4 linked regions of the Saccharomyces cerevisiae S288C genome follow. Changing the gene in region 1 together with any one later gene gives a genetic interaction. Each region holds a gene or a part of one and is shown in the gene's direction. Other genes may lie near its edges. The genes, in order: THI72, AZR1, EFM1 and PET100.

Region 1 (9,157 bases):
GAGATCAAATATCAAAGAAGCAAGTACATGAAATTAGGTATGGAAAAATCCTTGACAGAAAAATTACCCAAACTAAACGTACCTTTGAACCCAAAAGGAAAGAAACTTAGAGCTCCAGGTCAACCAGGTCATTATATAGACCAGGATGAACTAGAAATAGATGAAGATGAATACAAAGAGAAAGTGCATGAAATGCAAAAGTTGATTGGTCTAGCTTCATATGTTGGATATAAATTTAGATTTGACTTACTATACTACATCAACACACTTGCTCAACATATACTATTCCCCTCTAGGCAAGTTTTAGACATGACATATGAGTTAATACAATTCATGTGGGACACTAGAGATAAACAATTAATATGGCACAAAAACAAACCTACCAAGCCAGATAATAAACTAGTCGCAATAAGCGATGCTTCATATGGTAACCAACCATATTACAAGTCACAAATTGGTAACATTTTCCTACTCAACGGAAAAGTGATTGGAGGAAAGTCGACAAAGGCTTCGTTAACATGCACTTCAACTACAGAAGCAGAAATACACGCAGTCAGTGAAGCTATACCGCTATTGAATAACCTCAGTCACCTTGTGCAAGAACTTAACAAGAAACCAATTATTAAAGGCTTACTTACTGATAGTAGATCAACGATCAGTATAATTAAGTCTACAAATGAAGAGAAATTTAGAAACAGATTTTTTGGCACGAAGGCAATGAGACTTAGAGATGAAGTATCAGGTAATAATTTATACGTATACTACATCGAGACCAATAAGAACATTGCTGATGTGATGACAAAACCTCTTCCGATAAAAACATTTAAACTATTAACTAACAAATGGATTCATTAGATCTATTACATTATGGGTGGTATGTTGGAATAAAAATCAACTATCATCTACTAACTAGTATTTACGTTACTAGTATATTATCATATACGGTGTTAGAAGATGACGCAAATGATGAGAAATAGTCATCTAAATTAGTGGAAGCTGAAACGCAAGGATTGATAATGTAATAGGATCAATGAATATTAACATATAAAATGATGATAATAATATTTATAGAATTGTGTAGAATTGCAGATTCCCTTTCATGGATTCCTAAATCCTTGAGGAGAACTTCTAGTACATTCTACATACCTAATATTATTGCCTTATTAAAAATGGAATCCCAACAATTATCTCAAAATTCACCCACTTTTCAAAAACACACGCCGATTGGTCATATTAATCATGACCAATATAATAGTGATTCCGGTAGTTACTATACATTGATGTGACGACTCATATTCCTCATATATGTACCTACCATATCATGTTCAACTAATAGGTCTTTAACACAGCTTCAGTATGGTCTGAGCTTCTCGTTTAACATTCCTTCTGCAATAGGCACAATCACACTTAAACGTATACGAGGTGTACATTAATATACGATGTAAGCATTAGATTGTTACCATAGCAACTCATGTCACTATTAATTACTCTCGTTCCAACAGAATCAACGTAAGATATTGGTGAATTTTGAGATAATTGTTTGGATTCCATTTTTGATAAAGGCTATAATATTATATATACAGAATATACTAGAAGTTCTCCTCCAACTCTAAAATGTCATCTGTTAAATAGTATTAGTGTTACTAGTATACTATTACATGCGGTGAAAGAAGATGGCATAAAGATTGAGAAATAATCGTAATATTATTTGTTGAACTACCGATTCCATTTTGGGGATTTCTATATCCTGGAGGAGAATTTCTAGTATATTCTGTATACCTAATATTACAGCCTTTGAAAAGAATGGAAACCCTACCATTATCACAAAATTCGTAGAATTCACAGTAGAAACCTTAGTGAATCAAACAAGATAGAGCACGTTGGGTCAAATTCTTGCTTGGATAAATAACCCACATGAATAAATACCCAGACAATTATTTTAGATCCGGTAATCTGCGCTTCTATCATATAGTATATCTTAGATTTTACGTGATATGTTGGATAAGTAGCATTCTGTAGGTCAAGCTGAGAATGACGTCTTGAAGAGAAGTAGCTTTTCTAACGGTAAAACAGATTTGGCGACAAACTTTGCTATTACCAAAGCCTGTAATGCAACAAAATCAAAGTAAGCAATCATTCAGGTCGCAAAGAACGGCTGTTTAACTATGGATATTATCCTTTGGGCTCTGCACTATTCCATCTAGCCTTTCAAGAATCGTAAAACGATGTGCTAGTGGTGAAAAAACACAAGTACAACAAATTAGGGTGCTAATGGGGTTTGTATCTTCGAAAACCTTGCTCTATTATTCTCAGAATGTGTGAATGTTTTAGAAATTCGACAATCATTGAAAAATTATTCAAGTTATATTTATTGTAACTGATATGAAAAAAAAATTGATAATGAGATCCCACCTTGGTTTATGATTTACTCATCGGTTTCCTAAACACATTCATTACAATGTACAAGTTCAGAAACGCAATATATAATGTGCAGGTGCCAATCTAATCATGTTAGACTTTCTCGCATCGTCAATGACATCATAAAAATGCAAATAGGGTAGCACTCCGCATAATATCCTCTTGAGCATTGCTAATAACTGCCTCGAATATTTCAATGCCACGGTATCTACGGCACTTGAATTAGACTGCCAAATCCGAGGGTAACTGTGATAGCTTCAAAAGACTTTTAGCATTTGAAACCGCTCAGTGGTATCATTACTCCATCAACCACCAATGCAGTCACATGTTTATGAGAACAGTATCAAGCACCTTAATTCCGAGGCTGTAATAAATGGGACATTTTGGACAGAATGTCTCATTATCCCCGAACCGAAGCCTTTGAAATTGATCTGCAAATGAGGTAATTCAGCTGGATGGTTTTTCATAATATATTGAACATCTGGGAAGAATTTCACGTCACCTCTCGGTTTATCTCAGTAGTATTTAGAGTATTCTTCAAGTTCTGATGGGAATTTTCTCGCCATGCCTGAATTTCAGTTAATACGTGTTTAAGCTCCGAAATCCATGTATCAAAATTCACTGCAAAAAGGTTGTAATTTGATGGAGGAGATCAAGCTAGGTAACATATTCATTCGAGATGTCCACCTGCACCGAGTAGTCCTCTTTAAATCTTGGAAGAAAACACGTCAGCGATGCCAAGATGAGTGGGCTTCAAACCAAAACCAAAATTTCAACGTATAGGCCATTGTGCTCGATGATGAAGGGACTGCAAAAATATCGGTGGTTTAAGATAAGCAATTGTAAGATATAGAAGAAAAGCTGACGAAAAAAGAACTCATACCTTACTCCAAAATGGACACTGACATATTCTCCCATTCGGTGGATTTGAAATCCTCAGTGGATAGATAGGCAGAGTTGAGCCAATTTGCCTAGGGAGTTGATTACCGTTAATCCTGCTTGAAAGCAGCATATTAAACCTTCCCCGAAGTTTGCCATAGGACCGTATGACGCATCCTGGACTTCATCCCATCACTGTGCTGGGACTTGAAAATAAATGTTTCGCCCGTGGTAAAAAGTGTGTGGGAATAAGGTAGCCCTCTACTTCTTAGCATACTCAAAAAGAGATGCTAATAGTCAATCTACGGCCTGATTCAGGACTGCCTCACGGAAAATTACATCGCTTCGGGATTCGTGATCATCTGGCTAGAGTTTCTTGATATGTATCTCTGAGCGATATGGCTATTTACTAAGCAGTTGCCACCTTTGAGAGTAGTTGCCAACATGGACAGCAAATTTGCAGAAATAGGAAAGGACGCCACGGTACTCCCTAACCGACTACAAACTCATCTTTTCCGGAATGAAATGGTATTACCACCGAAGACGTCATTGCTGATCACATAAACAAGATTCAAGAGCGTGGTTACGTCTCAGAACCGACGATCCTCGTGAGGCTTGCTTGGCGCAGGGCTTCAATTCCATTATTTTGCGGAATCTTCTACGAAGCCCTTCCAGCATAGAGAAATGAGACAAAACCTCACAGGATTTACGAAGACCACTGCATGTAGGGCTGATATTGTGAAGGACACTTCCTAAAGGTTAGAACTAGTAGCATAAAACGAATAGATACAAGATTATCCTATTATAAATACGTGTTCGCACCGTAGTATCCATATAACGGCATTTTGCAACCATTCACATAAGATAGACTGTTCCGCTTCATCGCATAGTCGGCCACACTGCATATGTGTATTTTGAGCGCTAGGCGTCAGTGTACTACGCCCTACAATAAGTTGTAGTCACAGAAGCGCGCGCGCGGGCACATGAGTGCATGATGACAGGCTCCTTCACTGGCATAACAATAGCGCACAGATCCGCAGGTTTCGTAATACGCTTAACAATAGGCGTCTCCTGCTGGTTGCCTTATTAATTTATATGGAAGACGAGATAATTCATTAATTAGTCTACTCGACTAGATGAAATAGCTTTTTCTGGTAGTTGCACAGAAAGAAGGAAGACAATAGATAAAAGAATGTGGACGAATATTTTGCATTCGCTATCATAATAGAATTCATTTCTTCTCTTTTTTCTTCTCTTTTTTCTTTCCATTTTTTATATATGAGAGCTGTAATTTCAATGTTGCCAAGAGCGTGTACCATGTTATTTTCCACTGTAGAACTTGTATCATCATCTATTGCTCTCATATCTGATATACTATCAAGCAAAAAAAACTCTAGCATTACACCATTATGAGTTTCGGTACGAGAATCTCCAGGGCTTTGAGATTTTTGGAAATTCCTGTTAAAAATAGGGCCTCCGTGAATTTTTTAAGGAACCCTGATTTGCAACCTATCAAGTCTGTTAATCAAACGTGGGGGTTTTGGTCTAATTTTGCGTATTGGGGTGTTCTGTCCTTCAACGTTGGTATGTGGATAGGCGGTTCGTCTGCATTAACTGTTGGGTTAAGTTACTCAGAGACCATCGGTGCGTTTATTATTGCTGATTTGTTGACCATCCTGTTTGCTTTAGCCAACTCTTGTCCTGGCTATGACTGGAAGGTCGGCTTCACTCTAGCTCAAAGATTCGTCTTTGGGATTTACGGTTCAGCTCTTGGTATCATTATCAGAATATTGATGAGTATTGTCTATTATGGTTCCAACGCTTGGTTAGGTGGGCTTTGTGTAAACATGATATTAGATTCTTGGTCTCACCACTATTTGCATCTGCCCAATACTTTGTCCTCGAAAGTTGCCATGACCACCAAGGAATTGATCGGCTTCATTATCTTCCATATCCTTACCGCGTTCTGTTACTTTATGAAGCCATACCATATGAACTATATTTTAATTTGGTCGTGTGTTGGTACTTTCTTCGCCATGTTGGGTATGGTAATTTACTTAACTAAGAGCGCACATGGTGTTGGTGACTTGTTCACTTCTACTCATTCCACAGTTACTGGCTCTAAAAAGGCTTGGGCTTGGGTTTATACGATCTCGTACTGGTACGGTTCTGTTTCTCCAGGCTGTACCAATCAAAGTGACTTCTCCAGATTTGGTTCCTCTAATTGCGCTATCTGGACTGGTACTATAGTTGCTTTACTAATACCAGCAACCTTGATCCCAGTATTCGGTATCATTGGTGCTTCTGCTTGTGAAAAATTATACGGTCAAACATTTTGGATGCCTATGGACATCTTTGACAACTGGTTGACAACTAACTATTCTGCAGGCGCGCGTGCAGCTACATTCTTCTGTGGTTTTTGTTTTGTAATGTCTCAAATTTCATATACCATCTCCAACTGTGGGTTTGCCAGTGGTATGGATTTGGCTGGTTTATTACCGAAATATGTTGATATTAAGAGAGGTGCTATTTTTGCCGCATGCGTCTCCTGGGCCTGTTTGCCATGGAACTTTTACAACTCTTCTTCTACTTTCTTGACTGTTATGAGCTCTTTCGGTGTCGTAATGACACCTATTATCACTGTCATGATCTGTGATAATTTCCTCATCAGGAAGAGACAATACTCCGTTACCAATGCCTTTGTTCTAAAGGGTGAATACTATTTTACCAAGGGTGTCAACTGGAGAGCTATCGTTGCCTGGGTGTGTGGTATGGCTCCCGGTCTACCTGGTATCGCTTGGGAAGTCAATAATGACTATTTCCACAACACTGGTATTATAAATTTTTTCTATGGTGATTCTTTCTTCTCCTTTTTGATTTCCTTTTTCGTCTATTGGGGACTATGCCTCCTCTTCCCATTCAAAATTACTGTCAAACATGATGACAAAGATTACTACGGTGCGTTTACCGACGAAGAAGCAAGGAAGAAGGGCATGGTTCCATACAGTGAAATTTCTGAAGAAGAAATCCGTGCTTACACATTAGGCGAATGCTTCACAAGTGGACACGAATACAAACCTGAGAGCTCCGATGATGAACTACCTGAGTTGACAAAAACTAGTTCAGAAAACACAAAAGTGTTTGAAATTGTTCATCAGAAAGATAATGAAAAGGAATCCTCTACTTCCAGTGAAAAACAAATTGCCTAATGAGCAAAAAACCTAATAAAATGATCATACTTAGTGTTCATTCAAGATCTTTCGCTAGTATTAAAATTCGAGATAATTAAACACACTCTTTAGTCCCAGGAAACACTACTATTAAGCTTGTTGGTCGTACAGGATATAGAGGTCATTTCGATTATTTCATTCTTCCACTAATGTTTGATTGACGATTCAGATCACTGTTTTTGTTTGGCTGATAATTGTAACAAGAAAAAAAAACTACCGCTTCTTTTCAGTATTTCTGTTGAGGATGATATTTTCATTGATTCTCTTATCAGCTTCAGTGCCGATATCCTATCAGGCTCTAGTAGGGCTGAAAATTAGGTGGAGGCGATTTTGTTACTCTTTTGTTCAAGTCTGAGCTTATGACGTCCTGCGACATACTTTTCTTATTACGTACTTATGATAAGTACCGGTTGCCTATGAGAGGAAATCGAAAGTCATTAAATCAAAAAAAAAAAAATAACTTGCATTGCATTGTGCGATTAAAGAGCAAAACTTATTTGATAAGAAACCTTTTCTAGAGCATCTGCGCCACTTATTTGAGAGGTCAAGTCTTGTTAGTGAGAAAGCGCGTGAAGATAGAAATTATAAATTACCAATTTATTTTCAGTATAGCCTTAGAAAACACAAAGGCACATGGTTGTATAGATCTATATAATGCACTGACTGTACCTTGTTGTAAGGAAGTTAATAATAAGCAACCTGTTCGGGCTGAAAATCCAAAAGAAAAGTTGACGGTCTATTAGTGGAACAATGAATTTGAACTTTACATATAAGGGAATGTGTCTTTACTTTGATCTTACAGCGAAAATTACTGAAATCACAGTTTACGTATAAAGCACCCCCAATCCACGTGTGTTTTATACGCTTCTCTTTTATAGGAATATAAGATCAGCTTTGATTATTAATTAATACTGTCATTTAATTGCCAGTTATCATCAAACGGGATATTTTCATCGGTTCATTAATGTATGGTAGCTGTTGCGAGCGTATAATTATACTGGCGTTTGAAGATTACATATATGATGAGAAACAAAAATCAAATTTAGTAACAACTGTTAACGATGCAATAATGAGTTAAAGCAATTAACAGGAGGGGGAAGCAATTATGTTATTCGTGGCATTGTTGATAATCTTTTGTGGATTTCCAAATCCAGGAGACGAGCTTCTTATATTGTATGTTACTAATGGTATTTTCTTTTTCAAAAAGTAATTCAAACGATCATATCAAATTTCGCATATTTCTTATACTTAAAGTAGGGCCGATTTACGGCTTATTTTCTGTTCCATTAAATGCCAAGCTCGTAAGTGCCAACGAGTGAAGTTACTTAAGCCTACAAACTAGAAGCTTAGCCACCAATTATCAACATATACATATGTGTATCGCAATAATGCTTCAAAATTCACCAAGTTCTTCAAAGAGCGTTTAAACCAAATAAAAATCCTAACTCCCGACGCCCTAAACTATTCACTTCCTTTATCTTGCCTGGGTCCATGGCAGAATCGACCATTTCCTTCTTTCTCTTCTGTAATTCAGAAATACGATCCTCAACAGAGTCCTTTATAAACAATTTATGCACCTGGACTTTTTTTGTTTGACTAATTCTATAGCAACGGTCTTGAGCTTGTTCTTCGACGTAAGGATTCCAAAATGGATCAACTATAACTACATGGTTCGCACATGTCAATGTTAGTCCTGAGTTACCGGCTTTCATGGAAATCAGAAGTATCCTTTTCTCAGGGTCACGATAAAATTCGTTGATAACATCTGATCTTCTCTGAGCGTTCATTGATCCAATATATTTCAAGTAGGGAAAATTCAGTTTATTTTTGAGAAAATGTTCGAGAATCTCAAAAAATGTTGTAAACTGGGAAAAAATAATAATTTTTTCGGTTGCTGATTCATCAAAAACTCTTTGAATAACCTGTATACATTGCTCTATCTTCGTAGATGGTTCTAAACTCTCAAAATTTGGCACATATACATTTTTTTGCTGTATTTTTTGTTTCTCCATTTCACTTAAATACTCTGCATGCAAATCTTCCTCAGTAAATCCCTGGTTTATTACCTGGTCGTATAACTTGTGCGAAACAATATCTTTCTCGTTTGTCAAACGTTGACAATCTTTGCATGGGATAGCAAATGCCCCACCTTTGGTTTTCTTGGCCTGAGGTAGCATGGATGACTCTTCGATGAAGGGCTCGATACAAGTGTCGCAAATCAAATGACCACAACCTGTCAGAACGGACATCGCTTCTGGTTCTAATTGTTCCATGCACCAGAAACATGTCATAGAATTCATTGAAGTAATAACCTGAGCCTGCGCTTCTCCGCTCATGTGAGTGATTTTATAGTAGAGCCTGAGCCAGTCATCTTCAAAGCTTTTGCCGTTAGCTACCTTTGTACCTTCCGCTTTTTTTTCTCCCATCACAACTAATTCTGAATGACAACAAGCCTGCCTTAAGCGAAGTAGTAATGTGAGAACGCTAGAGTAGCTCCCCCTCGTAGAATTGTTCAACAATTTCTTAGCGAGTGCTTGATTTTTTGATTCCAAAGCTGTGTAAAATTTTAATTCCTCTCCCTTCAGGCGTGATTCATCTACTTCCACAATTTTAGGAGGGAGCTCCAGTAA
Region 2 (4,041 bases), on another chromosome or scaffold:
TTATAGAACTCGTTATCGTGAGTTACATCACCACTGTTGTCATTTCTGTGAGCGTCAAAGATTGGGTTCTTTAAGTGAGCATTGCATATCGACCACACAGAGTCCAAATACTTGGGCCTCCATAGGCCCTTCGGTATATAATTTTTCAAGGGATGGCTCGAACCATTGGCACGAGAGTGGTCTGGTGTATTCGTTTCTGTATTGGTTGTTTCAAAAATTTGGAAAATATGCAATGTTTGCTTATTTGACAATACGGCCAACTTACTACCATTGGGGCTGAAACTCATCTCGTAAATATCCGCCTTGTCCACCCCTCTTCTAAATTCTTTGATTAAAGTACCGTTATGCGTACTGAAGATTCTTATAAGTGTACCCTGGACGGAACATGTTGCTACCATGGTGCCTTGACGGTTCAGTCTAACCAGTTTGATGGGATTTTTATGTGCTTTAATGATGGAAGTGGGCAAAAGCGCTGATTCCTTCGGGTTTTGTGAATTATATTTTATTTGTGATAGGTCGGCTACTTGAATTTGGCCTACGCATTTATTCGATGGGAATGCAATGATTTCTAAGATTTTAGACTGTGACTGCGATGCTTGCGACTGGAGATGTTTGCTGCTACAAACGACATAGTCCACTGATCCATTGGGAGGGATATCCAAAATAGGACAAATTCTTTGAGGATTGGTTTGAAATTGGAAGATCTCTATTGTGTTCTCCAGGACTACCACAATATGAATCCTAGATAAAAACACGTCTTTAATGGAAGACATAAACTTCAAAGTAATCGTTTCCTTTTGCAAAAGATCATCCCAGATGATCAGTTTATTTAGAGCATGCCTTGGTCGTTTACCACCTCCGACTAGTGCGATGTAATTCGTACGATAAAGCATCCTGGTATAGCCAATCCCAGTGCCCCTGGATTGGTTGGTCGCAGACTCTTTAAATGTTTTCGATAGCTTACTAGTCAATGGATCTGTATTGAAAATACGAAATCCATTCTCTAACGCCACGCTGAAACACGAATCATCTTGGTTAAACGAAACGCTCAAAAATTTTGGTTTCCTCCTGTTGTTGACTGCCTCCCTTATAGGTCGACGAACATCCATCTGCTAGTTATGTATGCTTATAGTTGTCCTCTAATAATCGCTGCCTTTCCAGATCTTCTGGTTTCTCTTCCCTTTAACAATAGCCCCCGCAGTACGTATTACTAAGGTAAATAAATATAACCGGCTTTACAAGCCAGAAAGCCGTGATCACGTGATTATCAATTTCTTTATTTCATTTCGCTCAGATACTGCCAAAAGCCCCTGATCTTGAACACAAAGGTAAACAACGTTAATATGAACCTGGCTATCATCATTAGGATAGGCTCATTTTCTCTTTTTAACTCAGGCCCCTTTCTTGCACTGTTACCATAGGATCTTACCAATTTGCATTATTTCCGCCAACTAGCGGATATCCGCTGTATTTCCGCGCTTCTATATGCTATGGCTGGAAATACAATAAAAAGTGTCAAGCAGAACCACTACATTAATTTAAAGAAAAATGTCTTATATCAAAGAATCGGCACTGTATCAATTGATTATATATAATGCTAGAGTTTCCGTACCCTCTTGCAACGTCCTTTAAATCTTGTATCTTTTCTTCTACAATTGTAGTAACACCACGTCTACATTAGTATCTAAATTGCAGCCCAATGAAAGGCGAACCTAAGACTTACAGCATGAGCGACCTCTCATACTACGGTGAGAAAGCACAACAACAGAACGAGAAACAGCAAAAACAATATGTTGTGAGACGAAATTCTACGCAGTCAACATCAAAACAAAACGTGAGCGTGGTGCTCGAGGACAACGCCAGCGAAAGTAATGAACTACCTAAAGGGTTTATCTTGTACGCATCTTTGATAGCATTGGCTTTGTCGCTGTTTCTGGCAGCCTTGGATATCATGATAGTTTCTACAATCATTGAAGAAGTAGCTAAACAGTTTGGATCGTACTCTGAGATCGGGTGGTTATTTACCGGGTATAGCTTACCAAACGCTCTGTTGGCGTTGATATGGGGAAGAATTGCCACACCTATCGGATTCAAGGAGACCATGCTATTTGCTATTGTCATTTTTGAAATCGGGTCGCTGATCTCTGCTTTAGCAAATTCAATGAGTATGCTCATTGGTGGTAGAGTTATTGCTGGAGTCGGCGGTTGTGGTATTCAAAGTTTATCGTTCGTCATTGGTTCAACCCTGGTAGAGGAGTCGCAGAGAGGCATACTAATTGCTGTTTTGAGTTGTTCGTTTGCTATTGCATCTGTTGTTGGGCCTTTCCTTGGAGGAGTTTTCACCTCCAGCGTCACATGGAGATGGTGCTTCTATGTTAATTTACCGATCGGTGGCCTAGCATTTTTCTTATTCCTGTTCTTTTATAACCCAGGTTTAAGTACATTTCAAGAGACAATGGATAACATCCGCAAATTTCCATCACAGTTTATCGAAATTGTTCGGAATGTAGCATATCATTTATTGAAAATCAAAGGGTTTAGCAAACTTAATGGGTGGAGAAAGCCGTTCATGGAATTGATTTTCATGTATGATATTATCGAGTTTGTGTTTTGTTCAGCTGGATTCACATGTATTCTATTGGCTTTCACATTTGGCGGTAACCGGTATGCTTGGAACTCTGCATCCATCATTATTCTTTTCATCATCGGTATAGTCCTGGTAGTGTTAGCAGGTATCTATGATTTCCTTGTCTTCCCCAAATTTAATATAGTGAAAGCAACACCACATTACCAACCATTAATGTCATGGACAAATATCAAGAAACCAGGTATTTTCACGGTTAATATAGCCTTGTTTCTCACTTGTGCAGGATATATCAGTCAGTTTACGTATATTGTGCAATACTTCCAATTAATTTACAATGATTCCGCCTGGAGAGCCGCTGTACACCTGGTTGCTTGCATTATTTCTACAGTCGTTACAGCAATACTTTGCGGTGCTATCACCGACAAAACCCGCCAAATCAAACCGATTATTGTTATTTCAAGCATTTTTGGTGTTGTTGGTGCGGGTATATTAACCCTATTGAACAATAATGCCAATAACTCTGCTCACATCGGCCTTTTGATATTACCTGGCGTTGCTTTCGGTGGTTTGGCACAAAGTTCCATGCTCGCTTCTCAAATTCAGTTAGACAAGAAGAGCCCAACTTTTCGATCAGATTTTGTCTCTATTACCACTTTTAACACATTTTGCAAAAATCTAGGTCAAGCACTGGGAGGTGTCATCTCTAACACTGTTTTCAGTGCTGCTGCTATCAAGAAATTAACCAAGGCTAATATTCAGCTCCCAGATGGTACCACGGTAGACAATCTGGTAATCTATAGGCAGACCAATTTCGATGGCTCTCATTCCAAATTGGGCAATATAATTTCTGAATCTCTCACTGACGTCTTTTACATGGCATTAGGATTTTATGCATTATCTCTCATTTTTGCTGTTTTTGCTTCAAATAAGAAAGTCACAGCAAGCCTGAGATAAGTTAAGCACGATTTAGAAGGTGGCGAGCCTCAAAGTGTAAAGCTGCAGAAAAAATAAACATGACTTTTAGTAATTGGCTGTTTAGCTTGCTGAATTGTGTACCACAACTAACGATAACAGTAAGAGGGTAATCCGAGACAGTATGAGTACAGCTATTAAATAGTTAATTTAGATTTTTATACTGGTATGATAAACGACGTTCATATAGCAAGAGCGTCAATGCCTCTATGTCACCTTCAATAGAAGTTTCCCTTTTTATTTCGACTTTTGTTTTTGTATTTTTCGGCGTCTGCCTTGTTCCATTTTTAAGGCGCCAAAAATAAAATAAAATGATGAACGATTAGTACTCAAAGAACACTTTAATCCTTGGAAACAAAAAAATAAAAAATCAAAAGTTGAAGGAAGGTCAAATTTTCTTCCTCCAACGATAATAATACTTGCTTATATAACTCTTTTAAAGTTTTACAAAACTTTGGATCAGAAAAAAAGAAAAAAATATG
Region 3 (9,094 bases), on another chromosome or scaffold:
AGAAATCATAGTTATTTTTATTTTTATTTCTCTCCGTAAATATGCACTTCATACAAACAAGGAAAAAATATGATCAAAGAAAGGCAAAAATAGTAAGTTCAGGCAATATAGAGAAAATAATTTATTTCTACAAGTAGAGGGGCGCAGTAGAATGCATTTGTATAGCATAGCCAAGTCAACAACAATACTGCGTTTTCTAAGGCATATTTTATTGCCATTTTTGCATCTCTCTATTCATTTTACTAGTTGCTTGTGCAGAATAATCTATGTTGGCTGGAAAAGTTTTTGGAAACATTTTTTTTTTTGCGGGCATAAAATAAAAACTCCGCTGTTCATCGCTTCCTACGCAATGTTCTTAGCCAAGCAAAAAATTATAGTTACAATGTTTGAGGTTTCTTCCGTTCTAGAGAAACTGCCGCAGAATATTTTACTGTTTCACTACCCTCTTCCTTCCAAAATGGGAAATAATTTATTAATGTCGTTCTTAACACAAAGATCGATCGATGAAAAGGAAATTGATGCATTATTACATCCTAATGCGGTCTATCGTTTCTGCAATATGAGAACCACATTCAGAACATTATCCTCATATGGCAAATAAACGAGATATCAAGATACCGGACCCCCTTTTTTACAGTAGATAAACCGGAGAATACCAGAGTATTTTCCAAATATAGAAAGAAAAGGGTTATTTCTAATTCTCGCTCTCTGTTTTTGGAAGACGAAGTTATTAAGTTTTTGCCTGCATTTGGAAACCTGCTGCGATTTCCTCGATATTGAAAAAAAGTAAAGGCCACAAGAAAAAAATTTTATAGTTGCCTTGGGATGACAAACAGCTGGATATTATTATTATTGGCAGTAGCCCTAGTATGTTGTAAAAGAGTTATTTACAAGATTTTCTTTTTACGAGGGCACGTTATAACGTTGGACTCAAGGGGAAAGTTTCTAAAGGCACAAATAAACATTATGGGCTTATGGAAAAGGTGCCAGTGACGTGATGGTTACGCCTCGCCATTCATGTTAAACGATGTAAATTACTTCTATTACAGGATATTTTCTTGCCTTCGTTTAGCGTATTATCAGCCCTTTTCTCTGTTTTACAAATAAGGAAAGCGCGACGTCAGCCAATGTGAATACCGTTTATGGTTCAACCTTGTCTACATTTAGCTACTTTTTTTTCTTTTTCGAAAGCATTGATGCGTTTGCTCGGTGATTACATCATAATTAGTGAACACACGCAGCAAACCGTGATCACTGCGAGTATTCTACTCTTGTCATCCCAGACTACAAGTAAATCATACTATCTCTTTACAAGCTGAATGGAATGGGGCTTAGCCGACTGGAAGGATAGGCTTGCCAAGGAAAAACAAAGAAAAAAAGGCGAGTGGATTTAAGATTCAGCGACCGCCTGTCTTCCCTTCCTTTTTCACCATAGTTGACATAACACTTTATCTTGTCTTTATATCTCTTCTCGAAGCACTTATGATAACCGACTTCAAAGTCAAGGTACATAATTATTCAACGCCTCTAATTTTTCACTTGTTATGAAGCAAGTGCTGAGACAACTGGCCAATCGATGTTATAAACAGGCAGAACAAAAGAAGTAAAGATATTACTCTGTTACGTAATATTAAGTAGTGCCGCACTATACATGTAGATATGCATATACTGTTATGGTAAAAGGAATATGCAAAGAACTAGACATTTCTGATCTTTTCTTTTCTTGGTTATGATCATTAGAATGGTAGAGTCTTGTAGAGAGGAAAAAGTAGGAGGTGACACCGTATATTTTGGGCAATATAGTCATGGAAAGTGATATCAAGCAATCATGCAACGTAAACATCAACTTATTCCCGTTTAAAAGTGAATTTTGATGGAAGTTTTTCAAACCAATCCAAAATTGGATCATTGTCTTTCGTGTCGACATATTCGCCATCCTCGATGTATTCCACAGCAACAGTATCAGTCAATTTAGGATCCCTTAGACATAAGGAGAATGCAATTAATGGAACACAAAATACTAAAGCCACGATAGTTTCCAATCTTTGAACGTATTTGTAAGCGTTCATTAAGGCATTCCTTTGTGGGGTACCCCAAGTATAGGTTTCAATGAAAGTATATGGAGATTCGTAGGCAGTTGTGGCTAGAGCAACATCACCCATTCTCTTCAAAATTTGTTTGTACAAAGTCTGAGTCCAAATGGCACCGGAAACTGCGGAACCGACAGCAGAACCAATTCTATAGAGGGTATAGTTTAAAGCTGTAACTGTCGCCATGTTTTCATGAGAGACGGCAGATTGTACAGAGACGGTAACTGGGTAAGTGAACAAAGTAGTGCCCACACCCCAGACACATAATGCACCAATAATACCTGAATGGGACTGACTTCCACCTCTAAAGTGGTACAATAAACCCATAGCCACCATCCATAGCGCGCATCCAAACATTATGAATGGTTTCAATCTCGTACATCTTGTTACAAGTAAAGCGAAAAATGGAGAGGCCACAGTAGAGACAAATGAAGATAATGTGGCAATTCTGGTTGCAGATTTAACGGATTCATTGACGGCAACAATCATAACCGTGTACAAATAATCAGCGGCCATATAGTAAATAAAATCAATCAGGAAAGAAATACCCATAGAAGACCATACAGCCCTATCTTTGACCAGCCTATATGGAAGAATTGGATCTCTAGCGAATCGATATTCCCAAATCCATAAGATAGGGATCAAAACAAAGCCAAGAACAAAGGGGCCGATCAATCTTGAATCATTCCAGGTAGTTTTGACCCCACCAGCCAAGGTCAGTGGGACCAAGATACAACCTAGGGAACAACCCATCAAAAGGACACCAACGACATCTAACATCCAAAATAATTGCTTTAAGATCTTAATAAAACCATGTTCTTGATAATAGGACTTCTGGCCCTTCAAAGCGTGCCATTCAGGAGTCTTTCTGGCCCTCCATTGCATGTGCAACATACACAAAACGATTGGAACACATGATAGGGGAAAGATGAAAGCCCACATACCTACATCCCAAGACCAGTTGACAACAGGATTGGCTCTGGAAGTGATATTACCAGCAATCCATGTGTTGATGATAAAAGGCCAAGTCGGGACAAATTGATACAGCAGTCTCCACTTTAAAGATGAAAAATCGGATAGGATAATCAAAAGAATAAGGATTACACCCACATAGCCAGCATTGTAGAAAATGGCACCTGCAGCGTATCTTTGAACATCATAAGCTTGTGATTGAATAATTGTACCCACAACATATAGGATGACAGCACTAATGAAAAGGTATAGTCTACCAAACACATCAGACAACCTAGCGTATATGATTTGCGAAGCGGCACTGACCACAGCATTAATGACGTTGATTGTAGACAGCAGAGAATGCTCACTATAGGATGATGTGGCGTAACCAGTGTAAATATAACGGATGTTACCGTCCAGTCCATAACCGTAGCCACATATGAAAGCACTCAAAAGTAAAATCGCTTGTAAGTACCATTTATTGTAAGCAGAGCCAATGATTTCAGTCTGCTGGATAATTAGGCTCCTGTTCTGTCTCAAGGCATTGTATTTTTCAGATAACTGAGGGAGACCATATGAGTCGGAGTTGGAATCGTTATGAGTCTCAGGATTCAACTCGTGTTCCATTCCCATGAAGACATGTTTCTTTTCCTCCTTAACAGGATCGCGAGAGTGAACAGACTCCATTAGTACGTTGCTATGCAGTGGCTTGAACTACTGTCCATATATTTTTAAGAAAGAAAACAAGAGATATAGTGAACGAAAGCAAAAAGAGAGCTATCGAATGTTTCCTCCCCTATATACAATTATTCCTGAAATCTTCAGTTCTATGCATCTTGCATTACTTCATGTAAACTGTACTCCGATTTGCTTGGCCTTTTTTTCTCTTTGACACTATTTTCCTAACGATATGTGCTTGTTATATCACACCTGCTTTTATGGGTGCATTTTGATAAATTTGCAATCCCAAACAGGAAAGAAGTGAAAAAGGCCAAGACATATGTGGCTTTCTAACAAATACAGGCACACAAATTTCGTAAGAGAACAAGTCCTAAAGATGAACGTTAATGATAATATACAATTGTCTTCTCATTTCTGTTGATGGATTTTCATTCGCAGGTGTATTTTTCCATCGCTTCGTGATAGAGCTGCCAGTACGCTTCATCGCGGTCGCTTACATGCGTGATATTTAGGGGATCTTTCATTGGCTTCCGATCAGATAATATGTATCATTAGTCAGCGGAAGTTACAGGTGGAAACCCTCCCCACCTTGATAGTTGTCTTGATTGTATAGGCCTGTAATCTATTACTATTATTCTATTGGAGTCCTGCTCGTTGTTCGTTCAAGGCGAATGTGCCTGCGATGAGTTGACTATGAAAAAGAAAATTTTTCAACTTGAACTTGACCATTCCAACAAAGAAGAAATGATGGAAGTAAAAAAGACTAAGGAATCAAGCTTGGTGAAGCTACCTCGTCATTTAATTAACGAACTTCTGCATGATCACCCAAACTGAGCTAGATAACTGCTTACAATGGGCTCAAAATAATGGAGCCTTCATCGATCCGAAAATCTCTTTTAGGATTACAGAGGATGCTGGTGTTAGTGCATTTGTAAACGAAAAATTCTCTCCCAAACCCGACCAAGCTTTGATTAGGGTACCCGAAACTCTGCTGATCACTTCCCAGCAAGCTTTATCAGAATTTTCCCAGGCTGCTAATGAAAGGAGTCTTTTGAATTCCGTGACACAGTTGTACTTGTCAAAGTTGAAATTTGGCACCGATGCAGTTCACCTGAAATCCTTTTACAAACCATATTTAGATGTGCTACCCTTGCACCTTCCACAACCATATTTTTGGTCTACTGATGAAGTCATGAATTTGCATGGTACAGACGTGTACTTAACTATGAGAGATACGCTGAACAAACTAGTAAAGGAGTGGAGGATGCTGTTCCAAGCTTTATCTATTGAACACTCTTCTCAAGATAAGCAGTTCTTGTCTTTATTCCAGGAGAATAAAGACTCTGCCGTAGTGCCGTTGGAACAGTTCTGCGCACACATCAATGGATGTAAACTAGAAGATTCGGAATGGAACTCGTTCGTGGCGTATCTTTGGTCGTACTGCATCTTTAATTCTAGGGCATTTCCTCGTGTCATTTTAGGCAGGGCCGGTACAGACCGCACCAATCTGAACGAAGGATTTTTGTATCCAATAGTAGATTTATTAAACCATAAAAACGATGTACCAGTAAGATGGGAGATGAATGAACAAAATGAACTTTGTTTCATGTCGCAGACTACCACATTTAGTGCACAGGATGAATTGTTTAATAATTATGGTAATATTTCTAATGAAAAATGTTTGTTAAACTACGGGTTTTGGGATTCCTCGAATAAGTTTGACTTCTCTAGGTTGACTTTAAAGCTACCATCCACCTTAGTTAGCGGTTTGCCCGTGGATTTTAACAAATCAGGTAATTTTGTTACTGACGATGGAGAAACTACCATTTTACAATTTAGTTTAAAAATTTCTGAACCATTACCACCGGTTCTACTAGCGTTATTTGCCTACCTAAGTAAATTAAAGTCTGAAGAAACTCCAACCGTAAGGAGCGTATTGGAAGGTATTGATCAATTAACATCTGTAGTATCCCAGAGATTGCTGTTTTATAAGAATTTTAAAATTAAAACTTCTTCGACTCAAAAATTACGCCCTCATGTTATTAAACTAATCAAACTATACTATCAAGATAACAAAAAAATTCTGAACGCCACTACTGAGAAATTGTCCGTTTTACAAAAAAAAATATATAGCAATAATAAGGAGTTTTCTCTGTCATTCAAGACAATTTTTAAAAACGACAAAATATTTGCCAATTCTCTCTTACTGGTATTTGGTGCTATAAATTACGAAGATTTGATCACAAAAGACTGTCTTAATGACGCATTGTTGCTCTGGATAGTCAAATTAATCAACGATAAAAGTAATAATCAGGGAGGTTTCATTAAACAAACCTTCAAAGAAGTTAGTGATTCAATTGTCATTGAAAAAGAAGATGTTATGGAGTTTTTGCCGTTCTATAAAAAATACTTCCCTAATTTATCGGAGAGAATTCCAGAAATTTATAGTGTCGGTGATTGGGGCATAAGACAGTTCATTGTGGCAGATACTGCGATTGATAGATTGGTTTGGATCAGGAAATCAAATAAAGAGCCTATATTTCTAATGAAGAAGGCATACGACTTACAGATTTAGCTTTGATCTGTAGCCTAAGTATAAAATTCTACGTATGTATATATTTACATGCAATTTTTTCTTTTTCCAATTCATGTTAATGTTCTTCATCATTTGATAATAGGCCAATGATATTATCTACTATCTTCTCCTTTTGAGGAGAAGCTGCTTTCACTTCCTCGTTGCTTTTCTCTTCGTATAAATACATGAATTTCGACTTGTCCAGCATTTTTTTATCAATACAATGCATGTGCCCATGAAGTTCTACCTCCGACAAATCTTTAACAAAATATGTCGTTATTTGTGTCATGAATTTCAGTAGGGTTTGAAATATTTCGGGTATGGCGTTCTTCTTATCCAGAATAACAATTTTGTAGTTTGCTGATAATGTTATTGGACGAAGCTGGATGGGCCTATTTACGCGGAACTTTTCGCCATATATTTCCTGTTCGAAGTATAAAAGTTGGTTGGCCAATTTCTTTAATCCGTTTGCAGATTGTAGCGATTGTTCATTCGCAAAACCAGGTTCTATTGTTGCATTTATTGACTCAGTGAAACCCACCAACTCCATTAAAGTTGGTCTTAAATCATCTTGCATAAACTTGTACAAGTTTGGCTGGAAAATTCTAATCATTTTCGATTTTGTCAGCACGGTTTGCAAAATTAATGTGATGTGTTCAAATCTTGATAAAGTCGTTTCATCATTTTGGAAAATAGAGAATTGGTTCCATTTCATTTCTGAAATTACCAGTGCGGAATATGTTTGTAGGTCATGAAGAAAAGAGTCGTATTTTGTCTTGTAGTTGATCAGAGAAGCTTGGTCCGTGGGTATTTTCATGGACTCGGTCTCTTGATATTGCTTCCATATATATGAGTCCCAAACATTCCAACTAAATTGAAAGGAAGGCGCATTATCGTTACCAGAGAAGGAACGGATGCTTTTCTTGTTACGTTGTAAAATGGTGAATATATTGTAGAGAATGAAATTTTTGCAAAATTCAGCCCTCAATTGCCGGATGGAGAAGTCGTTTGATAATATTGTAGCTCTTAAAATGTCTCCAGGGCACGTTCTGTCTTTGTTTGATTGTTTGCTCCACAATGTCTTATGGCTAACCGATCTTTCTAAAAGTTGCTTCAAAGTGACGACATTACCACCAGCGATTCGAGTTGTGGCACTGTTTGCATCCAGATAGAATGGTTTACCCTCTTCGTTCGCCAGTATCCGACCAGCGTTAGCCTTCTCAATGCGCTTTCGTTCATTCAAGGTGCAAAGTGGCGAAGCTATCTTGGTCTTCAATTTGTCTACCTCAGTAACGAAAAATTCTCTATGTTTATCTACAAAGTAAGGGAAAATACCAATTCCATCGAATTCCCCAATCATCGCCTCATCGGAAACCTGGAAAAGAGGCAAGGGCTTTGCATTAGCTGGGTTTACAAACATGGGTACCTCACCATTATTTTGTTCCAAGAGTCTATCGTAAGTGCTCTTCTTAACCCCGATTCCCCGACAAAAGTTTGAAAATATCGACTTAGGCCAAATTACACGCTGCAGTTTCAACTTATCATCTTTGCATCGTACCCTTATTAATTGTTGCCACTCGAAAGATGGCTTGAAGTCCTCATCCATTTCGCTGAACAACTTCTCGTAGAGACTTAAGGGGTGGTCAAACATAGGCGCAATCCGTTCCCAGTGTTGGATCCTCTTCTTCGAGGATTTTTGAGTTAGATCTGTTCTAACAATCTTGAATGCGTGTTCGCGAGGGGCGTTTATATCACGTAATAGCAGTTTTTGCAAGTCCGTGAGTGAAATATTATACAGTACTCCTTCAAGATCACAATATTCATAAGATAAGTTTGTCTTCTTAAACGCTTGCTTACAGCGAGGGAACACCTGATGTGTGATATTCTCCATGTTGAACTTATACCTGTAACGAGAGGAACTGCCCTGTCTCCTCAATGAGACCATGAACAATGTTTGCCAATTCACCATTTTGGTCACTCTGTCTCAAACCTTTCCTTCAGCGCAGCCTTACTCCTTCAAGAGAAGCCTTCATTGTCCATTCACTTAAGCATAATTTGTCATCTTCAATGCAATTGAACTTTCACTAAATACACCCATACACACCAATCTTGGATTCTACTCGGCGGCAATCTTCACTCTTTCCTTTGTTTTATCATTTTCTATTCCACCTTTAGTTCCCCAACTTCACCTCTTATCGAACTATCAACACATTTGACTATCATTTTGGCAAATTCACTCACGTGAGGGCGTGTGCTAACCATGCAAGGGTTATGGCATGCGCATCCATGTGGCGTTTCCTACTTTTATTTTTACATAATATATAAGATAATTGCACATGCAAACAGTCAATCTTTTTCCTGCAATTGATGTGGAGACCAAAAGGTTTGCATCTCCTAGTACCACGATTTTTTGGTGCAAAAGTGTTGATAATGTAATTCAGGTAGAAAAGGTAGAAGTTTCCTCTAGTATGTTCACAGATTGGATTAGAAAAAAAGATCACGCGACTCTTGCCGGAAAAAACTGTGGCGTCGCTGCATATATATGACAAATCAATCATATAGATTAGAGGCCTGCCTGAGTCAAGGGGCAAAAACAATACACATATAAAGACCTGGATGCTTATCGATGATCTGTACATTCTGTTTGTAGTCTAAGTTGCTGAGGGCAACGTAGACGTACAGTGCTCAAAATAAGTAAAAATGGAACCGCTGCTTTTTAATAGTGGGAAAGCAAATCCCTCTCAAGATGTTTTCATAGATGTGGAAGTTGGTGATATTACCACAAAATATGGTT
Region 4 (6,361 bases), on another chromosome or scaffold:
GTTTTTGATTATTTATCATTGGGGGCAATAATAAACAATAGCATATTCTGTGTTCATGGTGGATTATCTCCGGATATGACCACGGTTGATGAAATACGAACAATAGACAGGAAACAAGAAGTTCCACATGAAGGTGCTATGTGTGACTTATTATGGAGCGACCCCGAAGACGTTGACACATGGTCATTATCACCAAGAGGTGCTGGATTTCTTTTCGGTAAAAGAGAAGTTGATCAATTCTTAGAGAAAAACAACGTTGAGTTAATTGCTAGAGCTCATCAGTTAGTGATGGAAGGTTACAAAGAAATGTTCGACGGTGGATTAGTGACAGTCTGGTCGGCACCGAATTACTGTTATCGTTGTGGTAATGTAGCAGCTGTATTGAAGATAGACGACGATTTGAATCGTGAATATACAATTTTTGAAGCTGTTCAGGCACAAAATGAAGTCGGAAATGCTATAATTCCAACCAAAAAATCTCAAATGGACTATTTCTTATAAATTTTTAACAGGCACTCTAATTGTCAAGTGCATTTTTCTTTTTTTCTTCATAATGCAATAAAGGAAAAAAAATTGTAATATTACATACTTCTTTTCACATCTTAGCTAATTAACAATATGGCTTTTGAATACTAATATATACCCAGCTACCGTTTCTTCTTTTATTTTTTATTCCTTTTTTTCTTCAGTAGAATATGTTATAGATGCGGAGGTCCCCTAAGTTCTTCACGTGTTCTCTTCTCATCGCGTTTGATATGAAAAATAGAAAAAAATACATAGTAGCATGACTAACTAATAATAAGCTCCGCTATCAAAGATGTCAAGTACATTAAGGAAAGCTTTTAGATAAGGAAAAGAACTTATTAATAATATATAATATGAAAATATGTCGCTTGGTATACCACTTTCCCAATTAATAGTAGAAAGTCCAAAGCCATTAAGTAGCGGCATCACAGGATTAGATGAGATATTAAACCTGGGATTCCAGGCAAGGTCGATCTACGAAATATTTGGGCCTCCGGGCATTGGCAAGACTAATTTTGGCATTCAATTGGTGTGTAATTCGTTAGAAGGCATACAACAATCGGAAATAAACGACGATAAAATTCTATGGATAGAAACATTTCAAGAAATGCCCATAAACATACTAAGAGAACGCTTTCAAAAATTTAAAATCGTGGAAGAAAATGTGAAGCGGGTCCGAATAACGAAATTTGGACAGCTATTATATTTCTTCCAGAATTTGTTCAAATTATCTCAAAGTGTGCGATATAAACTAGTTATAATTGATGGATTTTCTCAATTAGTCTGCGATCATCTGTGTACACTAAGTAAAAGAGGCGGCGGAATGATAGATAAAACTATACACGAGTTAAAATGTCGACATTTGATATTAATTTTTACGGTAATGACCAAATACACACATTCCACGGGTTCGACAATAATAGTTTTAAATGACTGTATGAACACCGCCTTCCAATCAAACGAATTCGAATCCTTGGAAGAATACTACGAAATTTTAGACGACGGATCTAACTTCTTTGTCAACTCTAACAACGAAAGGCGTAAGAACAATGTACATATATTGAAAAGCGCGCTCGTTGCCAATATCGCTATGGGAAGCAAGGATTCCACTTGGGAAGTATTTCTAAGAGACAGGATCGGCCTTTTTAGGGATTGGAATGAACAAGTGGACGAAACCGTTTTCGTGAAAAGCAAAAGAGTGAAGGCGTCATCCTCGCAGAGTAACGAGGGATGTACTACCATCAAAGAAATGAGAATAAACAAACGAAACTTTGAAAACTTGAGAATAGCTATTGTTTTTAATTTACACGGCGAAGATAGAAAAAGAGAAGGACGAAATTTAAAGCGGTCAAGAAGCAGCGACGATCGTAACTATATTGTCAAATTTGATTTTGATAAAGCAACAGGTCAACTCCGCGATATAATTGATCTGAAACCTGATACTGCTAATATTGCCTCATTTCCAACATTATCAACAAGCAGCAGCAGTTGCTCACAAGTGTTTAACAATATTGACTCCAATGATAATCCATTACCAAATGCGGAGGGAAAGGAGGAGATAATTTATGATAGTGAAGGTTAATAGTAAAATAAAAAAACCGAAAACCGAAAACAATAAAAAATGGAAAAACGACAACATTCCACCCAACAACTACAAAGAAAAGTTAAGGGTAATTTTACCTATTTAGGATTTTAATCTGTTGGAGTTAAGGTGAATACGTTTTTCCATATTGGGGTATGCAGCTCGAACCTAAAGTGGTATGTACACATCCCCTCAAGCACACCCATTACCCTTATAGGATTAATGTAAGCAACAGCTTACACGGAATTGGAAATACTATTCAACGATCCATGCATCTGCCAGATTCGGACATGCATATTCCCCAATTGGATATAGAAAATTAACGTAAGGCAGTATCTTTTCACAATGTACTTGCAACGCGGCGACTTAAAGTTGAAGTACAACCTGCAGCAGCGGCTTTTTGTACGGTACGCCAAACTGTCAATGGATAATATTGCGTAGACCGAAAAAGGTAATCCTCAACACTACCCGTGGTGGATGACCTAAAGCAGTAATATTGGTTGGAATTATCTCCCAGACGGCACCGTCTCCCCGAGAAAGCTTAGCCCCGAGGTCTACCTTCCATACACCACTGATTGCTCCACGTCATGCGGCCTTCTTTCGAGGACAAAAAGGCATATATCGCTAAAATTAGCCATCAGAACCGTTATTGTTATTATATTTTCATTACGAAAGAGGAGAGGGCCCAGCGCGCCAGAGCACACACGGTCATTGATTACTTTATTTGGCTAAAGATCCATCCCTTCTCGATGTCATCTCTTTCCATTCTTGTGTATTTTTGATTGAAAATGATTTTTTGTCCACTAATTTCTAAAAATAAGACAAAAAGCCTTTAAGCAGTTTTTCATCCATTTTACTACGGTAAAATGAATTAGTACGGTATGGCTCCCAGTCGCATTATTTTTAGATTGGCCGTAGGGGCTGGGGTAGAACTAGAGTAAGGAACATTGCTCTGCCCTCTTTTGAACTGTCATATAAATACCTGACCTATTTTATTCTCCATTATCGTATTATCTCACCTCTCTTTTTCTATTCTCTTGTAATTATTGATTTATAGTCGTAACTACAAAGACAAGCAAAATAAAATACGTTCGCTCTATTAAGATGAAATTATCAACTGTCCTATTATCTGCCGGTTTAGCCTCGACTACTTTGGCCCAATTTTCCAACAGTACATCTGCTTCTTCCACCGATGTCACTTCCTCCTCTTCCATCTCCACTTCCTCTGGCTCAGTAACTATCACATCTTCTGAAGCTCCAGAATCCGACAACGGTACCAGCACAGCTGCACCAACTGAAACCTCAACAGAGGCTCCAACCACTGCTATCCCAACTAACGGTACCTCTACTGAAGCTCCAACCACTGCTATCCCAACTAACGGTACCTCTACTGAAGCTCCAACTGATACTACTACTGAAGCTCCAACCACCGCTCTTCCAACTAACGGTACTTCTACTGAAGCTCCAACTGATACTACTACTGAAGCTCCAACCACCGGTCTTCCAACCAACGGTACCACTTCAGCTTTCCCACCAACTACATCTTTGCCACCAAGCAACACTACCACCACTCCTCCTTACAACCCATCTACTGACTACACCACTGACTACACTGTAGTCACTGAATATACTACTTACTGTCCAGAACCAACCACTTTCACCACAAACGGTAAGACTTACACCGTCACTGAACCAACCACATTGACTATCACTGACTGTCCATGCACCATTGAAAAGCCAACAACCACATCAACCACCGAATACACTGTAGTCACTGAGTACACTACTTACTGTCCAGAACCAACCACTTTCACCACAAACGGTAAGACTTACACCGTCACTGAACCAACCACTTTGACTATCACTGACTGTCCATGTACTATTGAAAAGAGCGAAGCCCCTGAGTCTTCTGTCCCAGTTACCGAATCTAAGGGCACTACCACCAAAGAAACAGGTGTTACTACCAAACAAACCACAGCCAACCCAAGTCTAACCGTCTCCACAGTCGTCCCAGTTTCATCCTCTGCTTCTTCTCATTCCGTTGTCATCAACAGTAACGGTGCTAACGTCGTCGTTCCAGGTGCTTTAGGTTTGGCTGGTGTTGCTATGTTATTCTTATAAACGGTGGTGTTTGACACATCCGCCTTCTTAATGCTTTCTTTCAGTATTATGTTATTTTTTTGTTATTCGTTTTTCACTTCTAGGCTTTTTGACAGACTAGCCCCGTTATACCACCATCTTTGTGGGAAAGCCCCTAAATTGCCCTGAGCAGTATCGTTTCATGTCTAGTCTCTTTAAAGATGTTTCTTACGCGTTGCGTGTAAAACATCCTCTCATTCAAGACAGGGTTTTCTAAAAGCAATAGGGGTAGTTTAATAATTCTTATATAATCATCATATACACTATTTTTAGTTCTTAATTCTTTAATACAAACTTATTAATGTGCTCTCCATTGATCTCTTAATCAGGAGGCGATATATACCGGAAGCGGTGTACTTTTCTTCACCTCTTACTCAACTATGTTGATGTGCAAGTTTAACCACTCGTCGATATTATCTATTGCTATAACGAAAACTTTATTCGAGTTCACAGTGAAAAACTTCAGCACATTTATGGAAGATCTAAGCAAAATGGAGAACGCCAGTAGATGCGAACAACAAACTTTATCAAATTTGAAATACCACTGCTTTGATAAGCTATGAGGATCCAGCTGTGCAAACCTATCATCCGAAAATTGCAAATGATCATCAACTTCATTTATTAGCACATCGTGTAATTCTTCTTTTTCGTCAGTTTTTTCTAGTGCTTCATGAAAGTATTTACAAAACTCTTCACATGAGCAGAACCAGTGTGCGATATCTACGAGTATTGGTGGCGCTCCATCATTAGTATCCTTCACTATTAAGCGATACTCCAGGAGCGAATTAGATGAACCCTTATAAAATTCATCAACTAACACATCAATCAATGATGTATGCTCATTACCTTCCTTGTTATGGACTCTATCTAATATGTATATAAACATGTCTGAAGATTCTAGTAATGAAATTGCTCGAATAAATAGTTCCCTTGGAAACATATAATATAAGAAGGATGCTATTGTATCATCCAGTTTTGTATCATCGTTTGTGTTAACCAGTTTAGCAAATAATTTAGAGTATTCTATTACATCCTTCGACATACTCACCCTTGTGACTTGTTCTTTTCTCCCTATTTCTTCTTCATCACCAACACTTTTGCTTTACCGGCTTGACCTTAAATGGTTATTTTTTCCCGTATAATTCCAATATATCAGCGCATCTTGCTGATATTTTCTGTTCTATAACAATTTAATAAGGGCTGACAAACAAAAGTAATCACTTCGACAAGTACAAAATGGGTCTATTTAATAACTTCAAGTTTAAATATACAAGGGCGCAACTGGAGATCTTTAGATTTTCATTTTGTTTGCTAGCACCTGTTGCTGTAATGTACTATATTGGTACAGATACTGATAAAAAATTAAATGTTCCAGGGTTTTGGCCAGATCCTGCAACGTTGAACCAAATACCAAAAGAGCCTTATGAGATTAAAGCTGAACTGGCAAGGATGAAAAAAGAACGTTTAGAGAAAAGGCTTAGGTTGGAGAAAAAGATACAAGAGGAGTTTGGTTTAGACCTTGAGGAGGAAAAAGAAAAAATTAAACGGGATTTGGCTCTCAAAAAAGGATGAGAAAAGAAAACGGTTAAAGATGTATACTTGCACCTGACCACTTTTTCTTCCTTATATTTATTATTCTAACATGTACATACCTGTATAGTCGTATTTCCACTAGATCATCACTTCCCCTCTATATTCATGTCTGACCTGGTTATGCAGGTCATGCTCTATTCAAATAGTATTGAAAAAGCTGAATGAGCAATAATTACTGATTTTCTTCTTCATCCATAGGATTATATATATTCTTAGATAATAGCCTATTTAGCTCATGCTTAACAAATTCGACTTTCGAGGGATTTACTAAAAGATGGGTGTCATCCAACTCCTCTAGTACTATATCACTCATCTTGGCGTCAATTTGTAATATGAGCGCCTTGATGGATGGATCACATTGAACCAGTGCACCCTTTCTTGCTCTAGCCATTTTTTCGTTCTTTTACAAAAGTATCTTGGCTTTGTCTCTATTGGGAGTACACTTCTATCTTACTGCAGTTTGCTCGTCTTTTTTCAATAATACGATACAAAAGAAAAATTAAAAGGGCTATTGAGACTGTT

What was found.
Region 2: mutations in THI72 (region 1) and AZR1 together harm fitness more than expected from each alone (negative genetic interaction), as found in Saccharomyces cerevisiae (one large-scale study listed by BioGRID).
Region 3: mutations in THI72 (region 1) and EFM1 together harm fitness more than expected from each alone (negative genetic interaction), as found in Saccharomyces cerevisiae (one large-scale study listed by BioGRID).
Region 4: mutations in THI72 (region 1) and PET100 together harm fitness more than expected from each alone (negative genetic interaction), as found in Saccharomyces cerevisiae (one large-scale study listed by BioGRID).

Annotation. Positions count from the first base shown.
Region 1 is NC_001147.6:696,117-705,273, reverse strand, and holds THI72 (thiamine transporter), read left to right. Parts: upstream 1-4,706; coding exon 4,707-6,506; downstream 6,507-9,157. Other genes in the region: YOR192C-C (uncharacterized protein), read left to right, coding at 1,050-1,286; translocase ULS1, read right to left, coding at 7,940-9,157. UniProt on the Saccharomyces cerevisiae protein: Low affinity thiamine transporter responsible for intake of thiamine. It is possible that the primary function is the uptake of closely related compounds and that thiamine transport is a secondary activity of these proteins.
Region 2 is NC_001139.9:941,107-945,147, forward strand, and holds AZR1 (azole transporter), read left to right. Parts: upstream 1-1,699; coding exon 1,700-3,541; downstream 3,542-4,041. Other genes in the region: phosphatidylinositol-3,5-bisphosphate binding protein HSV2, read right to left, coding at 1-1,109; AMA1 (Ama1p), read left to right, coding at 4,039-4,041. UniProt on the Saccharomyces cerevisiae protein: Transporter protein required for adaptation to high stress imposed by low-chain organic acids, in particular by acetic acid, and for resistance to azoles, especially to ketoconazole and fluconazole.
Region 3 is NC_001140.6:17,241-26,334, forward strand, and holds EFM1 (protein-lysine N-methyltransferase), read left to right. Parts: upstream 1-4,542; coding exon 4,543-6,300; downstream 6,301-9,094. Other genes in the region: YHL041W (uncharacterized protein), read left to right, coding at 152-601; ARN1 (siderophore transporter), read right to left, coding at 1,848-3,731; CBP2 (Cbp2p), read right to left, coding at 6,377-8,269; YHL037C (uncharacterized protein), read right to left, coding at 8,538-8,939; MUP3 (Mup3p), read left to right, coding at 9,001-9,094. UniProt on the Saccharomyces cerevisiae protein: S-adenosyl-L-methionine-dependent protein-lysine N-methyltransferase that monomethylates elongation factor 1-alpha (TEF1/TEF2) at 'Lys-30'.
Region 4 is NC_001136.10:597,582-603,942, forward strand, and holds PET100 (Pet100p), read left to right. Parts: upstream 1-5,482; coding exon 5,483-5,818; downstream 5,819-6,361. Other genes in the region: phosphoprotein phosphatase PP4 catalytic subunit PPH3, read left to right, coding at 1-501; putative DNA-dependent ATPase RAD55, read left to right, coding at 887-2,107; SED1 (Sed1p), read left to right, coding at 3,212-4,228; SHU2 (Shu2p), read right to left, coding at 4,617-5,288; TFIIH complex subunit TFB5, read right to left, coding at 6,012-6,230. UniProt on the Saccharomyces cerevisiae protein: Required for the biogenesis of cytochrome c oxidase. Probably for its assembly into an active holoenzyme.